Drosophila melanogaster: one gene and its partner. The protein of the gene in region 1 interacts with the protein of each later gene in a pairwise test. Each region holds a gene or a part of one and is shown in the gene's direction. Other genes may lie near its edges. The genes, in order: CG13053 and CG14767.

What was found.
Region 2: the proteins of CG13053 (region 1) and CG14767 interact in a two-hybrid assay, tested with the Drosophila melanogaster proteins (one large-scale study listed by BioGRID).

The regions. Positions count from the first base shown.
Region 1 is NT_037436.4:16,258,327-16,261,463, reverse strand, and holds CG13053 (uncharacterized protein), read left to right. Parts: upstream 1-1,741; 5' UTR 1,742-2,037; coding exon 2,038-2,055; intron 2,056-2,121; coding exon 2,122-2,379; 3' UTR 2,380-2,427; downstream 2,428-3,137. Other genes in the region: CG34247 (uncharacterized protein), read left to right, coding at 1-207.
Region 2 is NT_033778.4:8,717,646-8,725,488, reverse strand, and holds CG14767 (uncharacterized protein), read left to right. Parts: upstream 1-1,649; 5' UTR 1,650-1,783; intron 1,784-1,991; exon of another isoform or gene 1,992-2,036; 5' UTR 2,037-2,058; coding exon 2,059-2,232; intron 2,233-3,864; exon of another isoform or gene 3,865-3,980; coding exon of another isoform or gene 3,981-5,336; exon of another isoform or gene 5,337-5,389; intron 5,390-5,456; coding exon 5,457-5,646; intron 5,647-5,704; coding exon 5,705-5,843; intron 5,844-5,999; coding exon 6,000-6,795; 3' UTR 6,796-7,472; downstream 7,473-7,843. Other genes in the region: CG30357 (uncharacterized protein), read left to right, coding at 3,981-5,336.

The DNA.
Region 1 (3,137 bases):
CACGAGGTGTATTACTATACCCCCAGCTATGGGTACTACCCCAGTACCTTTGCCAGGTCCTCGGCTGTCCTGCCCTTGGCCTATTCCCGTTTGATTGCCCCGGCAGCCGCCGAATCGCATCTTTACCACAGCGTGGAGACCCCGAACTCCTTCCAGCAGCAATATCGCAGCGACTACAAGCCCCTGACCTATGAGTACATCTACTAGATGGGCGGGGAGCAACAAACCTTTGCGTGAATTGTAAGCAAGTGAAATTTGAATAAAGTTCGAACGCTCCTCATCGAAGGTGTTTTAACTCTAGATGATAAGCCCCCATTGTGTTGAGGTGTCTGTGAAAACAACTTTCCTACTTCCCCCAAAACCAAATGACCTAGCACACCCGCTGTCTGTTGAACTCGGCCTCCAATTGTTGTTCAGTTATAAAGCCCCAAACAACAATGGCTATATCGAATGACCCCGCCCAAATGCCCGTCCTTACACACAGTTGTTCACCTATGCTTCTCGGAGGCCTGTCTAAATTTAATAAAATCCCAAAAGTGGCAACAAATCAAGACTCATGTCGCACGTCGAACGTCACCGTGGCAAAAAGAAGCCGTAGAGTCCACCGCAAGGTGCAATGTGACTCACACAGGCTGTTCCCCCGATTTTTGCCCTTTGGCGAGTGGCTCGTCGATCCCGAAAGGAATCGCTCCGGAACGTGACCCGAGGCCGTCACATGGCATCCACCCATGGAACATACGCAAATGCGTAGATTGCTCTATGGCCATTGATACTTAGCATTGTTAATAATGAACTCTTAATCGGGTTTATTAACACCTCGATGTCCTTGGAAAATAGCATAATCTCCTTGGTTACCCTATATAAATAAATAACAATTAGTTTAATTTGCATAACACCATTAGAGAAGTGATAAAATGGATCATTGATATGAATGATTGCATCAGCCGACTAAGACTTTTAAGACTTCTCATCAAATATCACTCGACTAGATTCTTAATAATTTCTAAATTGTTTAATATTAATTTATCCTTTACCTTAATAATAATAATAATAATACAGAGCTTAGTTACCTTAAATAATTTTAAAAACTCCATTAATATTTTAATAAAGTAATAATATAAAAATAAATATAAATAAAAAACAGAATATTGATAAAAAGCTTAATAAAGATATACAAATATTTAGTTATTTATTGGGTTTTTGTTAAGAAAAACTCTTACGTTAAATTCCTCGAATACATTTATCGCGAATAAATCAACGTCCGTTAAAAATTATAGGGTACATAGCCGGCCATCAAGAGCCATGATTGATGATTACGAAACCAGATTGAGTTCGCGTTAATTATGCAAAGCTAATTAGAAGTTACTCCTCCGACCAGCAGATACATCTGATTGGATGGAATGGCTCGGGACGGTGGCATCCGTATCAGTTTACTAGAGCCCATAATCTCGGTGGAAAACCTGTTGCTGCCAAAGGAGCAGGAGCTCCGCCATCAGCACCATCTGCATTGGCATCTGATTCGGTCCATGGGGAAGTTCAAGGTTGTTACAGTGTCCAATTAATGGCTAAAGAAATCGCAGGCTTGACTAGGCAGGCAAATCTATGCGAACAACAATCTCACATTGCTGGGCAAAATGAGTACACTTAAACACGATTGAACAATATATAGTTCTGGTAAATATATTAAGCAGTGAGATATATGTCTAGTCAAAATATTTTAAAATTGAATTACATATTTTTTCATGGTTTTGTTAGTTTCATTATAATAAGGAGTTTAAAATAGTTTATCAACGTTTAATTTACTTGTCACAAGTTTCCTTAAGCTTGACTCGTTTTTCGGCGTGCAGCTGGCAAAAGGGTGACCAGAATTTAGAACGGGCTGTGGGAAGTGGACCCCCGTCAAGTTGTTTACCCAATGTAAAAACAGGCTTTGGATCCCGGGAGCCAAACCTTGGATATAAAAGGTCTTTGGGAGTGCAAGGAGGAGCTCAAAGCGAGAACGGCACTGGACGGCGTAGTTTGCAGTTTGAACAGAAAATGCGCAATTATCTCTGGGTAGGCAGCCAATTCCATTGGCCAAGTATCAGCTCCACTTAACTTCTCCACCTTCTACCGTTGCAGTTAGCAGTGCTCCTGGTGGTGGCCACCACCTGCATCAAGGCCAAGCCGCTGGTCTCCTTCGGTGTCAGCTACCAGCAGCCTTACCTGGGCCCCCAGCCAGAATCCTACTACTACGGAGGACGGTACCCGGCTGGTGGCTACTACAACAACTACCACAACAGCCCGGGTCCGTACGGCTACCCCTATCCGTATGCCAATCGCTATGGTGCCCTCGATCTCGGAATCGGCGCCCTGTCGCTATCGTCGTTCCTGCTCTGATTCCGTATAAAAGCCAAAAGCCACAGCAAATAGATGCGCAAATCACACAAAAGTCTTTTCACTATTTTCCTCGGCACGCACTGCTAAGCCTTATTTTTTTGCCCAGGTCAGGTTGATTTATATATATGTATATATTGAGCATAAGGATATATATAGTGGGCGGTGGACTTTGAGTACGTGCCATATCCCCGGGGGCTCTGGTGACCCACTGACTGAATTTATGGATTTTCGATTTCCTGTCACAAAACCCTTTGATTCGTTCTGACAGAAGTAAATTTTTAGGTGGGTGTCTTAATTTATGGTATCAAATGTCATGCAGTGAGGAAAGAACTCAAGTTAAATGCTAAATCTACCAACTGAACAAGCTTAGTTTTAAAATGTCCATTTAATACCTTTTAAACTTTATAAATTTAATTAAGTACTAAGAAATGACAATGAGTAGTTTATTGACAGCTTTTGTGCTAATGTCAACATTATTAGGACGACATTTCCTCACTTTGAATGCAGAGTATTTTAAGATTCGACATTTTCGATACGCTGATTATGCTAATGTCCTCGGCGGTGTATCAATTATTTATAGATGTTGTATCTTCAGGGGGCCCTGCATAACCGAAATGCGTTTGCAAAACGTGCAGGCGCAGCTTGAGTCTCCGGCAGATGCAACCTGTTGGGTTGGGAGGAGCACATAATTGCAGAACCCATCGGGGATTAAGGGAATCACTCTCTGGCTTTCGCCCCATCCTTTCGCTTTCTTTACG
Region 2 (7,843 bases), on another chromosome or scaffold:
CGGACCTCCAAGTATAACCCGAGTTTCCAAAAGTCGTAGTTTAGAAATTAAAGGAAGGTTTAGGGTAAACATACATGTTATTATAGTCAACTATTTTTAATTTTTTTGAAACATTTGCAGTGCCTGAAGCTTTTGTTTCGATGGTGGTAAGATAAAGTGCATTTCCAAACGATTTTAAAACATGTTTAAAATAAACTTAATAACAAGTTTTCACGCTTGACAGATTTTATCTACTGCACCTTGGGGGATAAGGTTTGCTTTCGAAATGTATCATCCGGAAGTTTAAGTTTATAAAAACGTAAGCATATGATCTTCTCTTTGAAGACCCACTCCAAACATTTTTAAAGGAGGATTGTTCCACTTTTGAGATAAACTAAACACATGTAAGATACTCTTTTTTTTACACATGTAAGTTAGGGAAATGACAAAAAAAATTAATGTAGCCCAAGGAGTTAACGGCTAAATAACGTGGGTGATCGTCGGAAGAAGCCAACAAGCATGGGCGGAGACTCGAACTCGAACTCGCGCACTGATTTCGTAGGGAATTCCAGTTGCCTTAGACGACTGAGCCACCGCGGCTGGAAAATTTGGGACGTCCGAAATCGGAGAAAGGTGTTTGAAGCAGGTTAATATATGTGGTTAACCTACAGATAAGGCTACAAGCAGCACTCTTTTATTTATGGATGCAAAATCAGCTGATTGACAGCTTAAAACGCTTATTTACGATGGCCTGTTGTTTGGCCCTGATAACACGCGATTAGCGATATGGAAAACGGACCACCAGACCATCAACTTTTTCTCACTTTATATCCCCATGTTCCTGGCTGCGAAGTGCAGTTAATCCGCAGCTATAAATAGCAAACAAAAGTGAATTCGGTGGGTGACGTAGTTGGGAATAACAGAGAAGGGGTGGGATGGATACGTACTAAAGAGATAGAGAGAGAGCGACAGAGAGCGCGCTAACGAACGACGCAAAACTGAAGGAAACAAGGTACACAAAGGGGAACTGATAAACGAAACTTACTGTAAAACTGCAGTTACAGTGCCGTACTTTTATATAACAGCAATTGCACCCCACGTTCACTGGCTTCGTTTCAATAAATAAAATAAACACGGGCTAAAATTCTACGCGAGTCTGATTAGGCATGCGGTTTAAGCCATTTCAATTCCGTTCGCTGTCAATTTTATCTCTGTTTTGCTGCAGTTGGCTCTCCAAATCTTTTAGTTATGGTCACCCTACGATAGCAAAGCATGTATTTTGATTGCATCGCTGCTATCGATGTTTGCGGATTGGCGCTTTAGCGTTCGCACCGGTCACACTTACCGTACTTTTTAAAATTAATATTTACTTTACGATGCGGAAGCACAAACCTATCTTGAGTTGCTCCTTTCGAAGTAAATTTTAAAAATAATATTAACTTCAATAATAGTAATAAAAACATATCAATTTACATTTGGGGACACAAAATACATAAACTATGAATATTTAGAAATAAATGAGCTTACATCTCTTCGTTTTGTTGTTTATTTATATGACATCTAATTCAAAAATTATTGTATAATATCATGATATTTGCGAATAATGACTCGTATAAACGTTACCGTTCTGCAAAACGCATAATGTCAGTGTGACCGTGTTGCGCGGCATTTTACCACTTTCAGAGATTAGTGCTCACGGGTTTTCGTGCTGCGCAGCAGTTAAATAAAATTGAATACATCAAGAGCTGCAGATATAAATCGGAGTTGAAAACCAGTGCAAGTTGCATTGGCCCACAAATCAAAGGTACGCCTTATAAAGGAGAGTGAATCAATTGCCGAATTAGTAGTGCAAAAGGTCAAAGCATCAGTCGTGAAAAAGTGGCACACATAAATACAAATGCATACATACATACTCGTAGATGCAACACACACCTACACCTAAACACACATACACACACAAACACACATCCGTGGGAGGAATAAAACACCCACAATTGCTGATTATTTTCTGCACTCGTTATCGTTATCGCTTTCGTTTTCGCATTCATTTTCCACAGCCGCAGTTTCGTGGGGCGTGCAATGTTTAGGATCCACCTCAAGATGGGTCCCCAACGCAACCAGCTCCACAGCAACAACAACAATGGTGCCGCCGGAAGTAGCAGCAGCACCGGAAACCGTCACCTGAAGGAGTTCACCTGCTGCTTCGGCCTGCATGTCCACACGGCCACTTTGATGATCGGATTGTGGCACCTGGTAAGTGCATCAAGGGGGGTATCCTTTAATCCATACATGCGTGTGTGTATATCGAGATACACCCACGCATGCAGTCCTGCGGCATTTGCGAAAAACCTTTGACCCTGCTCAGTGTCACGCAAGGGAAAAATCAATCAGCCAATGACTGCAAAACTTTGCGAAGACGAAGACGAGCCAACTCTGCACTTTCCCCGCCTGTGACGTCAATTGGTGGCTGATTGGCCGCTGCTGCGTCATCTGATCAAATTTAACTACAGTATAATTCGCTTAGCTGCCTCGAGTACTTTGCACAATGCCTCGATGCAGGTAACTTAAAAATGCAGCTAACTTAATTTTTTTTTTTCTATTTTCTATTTTCTATTCACACAAAAAAATGGAAAAATAATGCAGATATCTTGCCGATGCAGCTAACTATCGATGCAGCTAAGCGAATTATACTGTACTATCATCGGGGCTTTTTGGCACAACAACTTATTTCTGCCATCGGTTCCACTGCGGAAGTTTCCACATCCCATGTCCATTGTCCGAAACTAACCTTTCACAAGATCTGACTTCGCATTAGCAATCGCTACACTTGGAGAAATGTAAAGCATTGTCGAATTTTCAAAAGTTTCATAAGAAATTAGTTTTATTGGCTAAAAAAAGGGATATAAATGTGCAAAGTGCAGTATTTTCAGTCTTGTTATCAATGTTTTTGGAAACCCAGAAACCTTTGATGTCTCTTCTGAAAATGAAAGAGAATGCTCTGCCCTTAAGAGAGCGCGAATCTGCGGCCAATAAAAGATTTGAGTCGTTGAGCAAAAACCCTTGCTTAATAGTATTTGTCTCACTACGCTATTCGTGTATATTTTACACTGTTCCGCTACTTTCTTTATGCTTTGATCAGGTCACGTTTTCCAGTAGAAAACTCCGTCACATGGGTTGATTATGGTGTGGACAGCAGTGGAGTTATCTTTTCTAATCTGTCCAATCTCAAGGGTTTCTTTGTTTACATTTTGTAGATATGTATGGCGTTAGAGGCTTTAAAAACAAAGCAATTCCGCAAATCGAAGGTTGCTTGTTGTTTGGTTGACTCATCCCCAGAGTGACAATTGTTGATATACTGCGGCGCACTGCAGATTAAATTTCATGATGAATTTCTGATGAATAATTTAACTAAAGATGGCAAGTTGCCGCATCTCGGGTCGTTGCAAGGCCTTCAACCTGAGATACTTAGATACTGAATCGGATATCCAACGGCAGCCATCTGAGCAAACAGCAACCAGAAACATGAGCGTTCAAGTTATTTTTAATAACTACACGTACTCGACAAGTGATGCGAAAATATTTACTCTTGTGGTGGCTTACTCTTGCTTTTCGGTAAGAAAGATATATTCTTCTGGAACAACATTCTGAAGCGTGCTGTCATAAATCTGAGAATTGTTAATTCAGCTGTCATCTATCAGCACACAGGCTGCAAATCAAATCAGGCGAAGCTTTCTTATCTTCTTTTTTGCCAGCTTATCTTCATGAGCGGACCCATGCACCTGCTAACGCACTCGAAATACTTTTAAATGTTGAGCTATCATTAAAGTCCCCCCTCGTGATCCTTGGGAATCTTTGCTTAGTTTGTGACGTTTACAACTTATTCACATTTTTATAAATATTGTTCTGCTCACACAAAAGTCTACATTCCCCACTACTTCCAATGAAATTCCATCCGGAGGAAGCTGTCCAACTGGTGAAGGCATTTGCGAGATTCGAATGCAATGCCCCACACAGACGACACATTTCCGGAAGGCAGTTCTTGTTGTCCTATTGACATTGTTTCCTCAAATAAAGTCATCCTGCGCGGCTATGCTTCTAAGGCGAATAAGGATGTCGAAGCGGTGGAGGAGCTAGAAGAGATACAGGAGATGAATGATGAGCTAAGGGATTTGTTCATCAATACAACTGCCATCAATTGCTCGTCCCTTTCTGAACTAAAAATCCAGACTGACGCTTTCAACACCCTTAAAGAGCGTACACTATTCTCATTGGGATACTCGACAGCCGGGCTTTTAAAGAAATCAAAAATCAGTAAGGTTCTAAAAGGGAAGGTCAATTTGTACCAACAGATTGTGAGCCTTGTAAAGCAACGTACAAAGACCAATTCAGAGATCACCATAGGAAAGACAAGTCATCCCGTGCACCTGATGGTCTTACAGAGCTTTTCGCGAATGTTTCGCGATATGGGCAATGACCTGAGCGTGGCCCTGCCCGAAAAGATGATTACGCCACGCTCCTTTGGCCTAATCTACGAATGGATGATCGAGGACACGCCAGTCTTGCCGCGACTCGGTCTCCTAGAGGTTTTCCACGCTGCCAAATTTATGGAGATTCCACAGTTGGTCAGGCAGTGCAAGTATTGCCTCGATCATGGATTCACTGAGGACTCCGCTGCGATGCTGTACTTTGAGGCGAAAATACTGAAACTTGAGGTTATCCATTTGCAATATCTTGAGCGCGTCTCAAAGTTTTTTCTCACGCTGGTGGCATCGAAAGAGTTTTTGAGACTGCCGCTGAAATCAATGCTATTGCTCATCCAATCGGATCTGATAGGCGTGAATACGGAGCTGGAGGTCTTCATGGCAGCCGCTCGGTGGCTAAGCCACCACTGGCCTCAAAGAGAGGAAAACGTAACGGATGTTGTATCCAGCATACGTTTTGGACTAATCCCGCCGTGGTTGCTCATCCGTTTACAGAAACCGGATGTCACATCTGTGGGGGTGGGGAGAATCGTAGCGCAGCCAATTGTGCGCCAAGCCATTCATGAAGGCATCGCGTACACGACCACGCGGATGTTTTATGGAAAAGATCGGGAGGCTTTTAAGCACTATTTGCATAAGGCTTGCGTAAAGCCACCCGTGCAACGCACTTGGATATACGACCGGAAATGTCCGTATCATCATCGAATGCAATGCAGGAACACGGTGGACTTAACCTACGACGCGTTCCTTGAATATCTTAATTACACGCAACGCCAGCACCGGGATTATTGGAAATCTCTGGAACCAGTAGATGCTAGCAATGTTTGCTTCAGTTGCCAGGCAAAGAAGTCTGATTTAACTAAGCCCAACAGTTGAGTCTCCACGTTGGTTGTAGAACTTGTAAAATATATATTTCTACTTATATATGTAAGCCTCCATGTGCAATTAAACAGTTTAATTATTTTAGTAAGTAAAACCGCCTACGTTTATTTTCAGTTCTTGAACATATTGGCGCTAAGCGTTCTAGCGGTCATATGGCGCAATCCGGAGATGATGGACGAACTGGAAGGTGGCACCCACGACTACACCGTGGATCTGAGTGCACCGGCCCTACCCACGCCCCTTAGCAAGGTCGAACCGCCCTACGCCTACCGTGACCACTCCCTCAACTATCGTAAGCGTTACCGTAAGCAGTGGAGAGAGCAAGTTCCGCAACGCATTTAAATATCAATTTTCTGCTGCAGAGAACTTCGATATGGGCGGACTGGTGTGCACCTGCATGATAGCCATTACACTGATGATGATCTACGGAACCATCAAGGGAAAACCCTCCCACCTGTTGCCGTTCTTCTGTTTGCAATTGTTTGATTTCGCTATTACAACGTAAGGATTATAATCGGTGGAGTTACAGAGACCTCAAAAGATTTAAATCGCCACTTTACTTTAGTAAAGCTTAAATAGCCTTCTTAAATCCTTCGAGGTTTCTAGGACTCTTTTAATAGGGAGATTAATGTACTTATGCATTGTTCGTTATCATAGTCTCACCGCCGCTGGATATCTGTGCTACCTGCAGGCCATTCACAGCATCATTGCCGAGTCGCATCGCTTGCCGTGGCGCGAGAAGCTGCTAGAACTACCACCTGAGGAGCTAGTTGTTGTTGTCCTGGTCGTATTCATCTGCATTGTGTTTCTAAAGGCCTATTGCATTGGTATCGTTTGGCGCTGCTACAAGTACTTGACGCTCCGTCAGCAACACGTTCGCACCCTGTTCCCCTTCCTGGAGCCACCGACTGGAGTCCACAGTGTTGGCGGAACCTTTGGTGCCGAAGAGCGGTCTTACTCCACTCTGTTGCCCAATTACGATGAAGCGATTGCCCAGTACTTGAAGCAGGCACCACCGCCATCTTATCAGGTGGCCATGTCAAACTACGAAGAGGGTGAAGACGCAGCTGTTGGAGGTGCGGAGGTTAATCCTTCGGTGGCCCCTCTCTTCGTGGCCCTTGGAGCAGCCACTACCGCGAACGTAGCCTCCAACACGGATGACAACATGGATAATAACAATGATCAGCCGAACAATAACAACACTATGCATGTCAATGCCAATACGCCACCAATGCGCCGCAGCGATGCAGCTGTAAACGCTAATGTCGACGAGGAAGCGGACGATTTGGAGGTTATTGACGCTGGCGTTGATGTAATCGGTGGCATTCCGCCTCCTCCGCCCTACAACGACGTTGCCGATGCCCAGGTGCAAGTGCCATCGCAATCGCCGCTGCATCGCCAGCCAAACATCCCGGGACAAGTATTCGGCGGACGCGACGAAAGCCAGGCTTAAACAGTACTTTCGACTGGATTGCTTCTCATGGCGAGTGGGTTGTGATCAGCGGTGACCACCCCTCTCCCATCCTCTTCTTGCCCAGATGATCTGGTTTCTGGTCCCTCATTTCGCAGCTATCATTCCCAGGCACACATACACCTTCTTAATGGTTGCTTCAATGTATTGAACACTGTTTTTAGAAAAACGAAACGCAAACAAGTTTTCGCTATTAGCCATCGCTCATTATTGTTGTTTAACGTACAACTAAGACGCTCTAGTTGCTGCTAATTTAGTAAACAAAAGCATTAAAGCCAAAAACATATTGTGATGCTGGCGAGGAAAGCATCAATTCCTTTTCGGCCGCATCTGACCCGATTTTAGCTGCAACAATCTGTTAGAACGTTTTTCATTTGGCCCGAACTAGCCTGAGAAGTTCGGATATTGTAGGCCCAAGTAGTTGTTACCAGAGAGTGTCGCTGGCATTGTAGACACCTTTACGATGTTCTTTGTTTTAAGTTATCTCGTAAGACTATGCATATTGAATACCGTGTACTGAATTCAGAGCACAGGCAGTCATAATCCATTAATTATGATGATATTACCAGCAACAGTAAAGTTTTATGTGTGTACAATATCTAAATGTATACTGTGTACTAAATATGCAAAGATATTCGAATAAAAATTAGTTTATATTTAATTTGTGTTTGCGACTTCATTTTAATTTAAAGAACATTATAATATAATTTCCAATTTCAGCTGATACCCTAATTCTATTTGGAAATTGGTTTCATTTTCAATAGAGTTGGAATGTTGACTTTTTAGTTTATAGTGTTAATCCTTTAACAGAGTTGATGATATTTATTTTAATTGGGGAAAGAAACAAAATAACTTTGTTCTCTACTATTAAGTTTAAAAAAGAGAATATTCTTTGATCAACTGACTTCCATAGAGATTCCATTTTTACATTTTCTTTTTATTGTTTATTGAGGAAAGAAGCTACATAAAAATTCCCGATCATTACATATATGTATGCATATACAAAGTGATGACTAATAATAAGATTTGT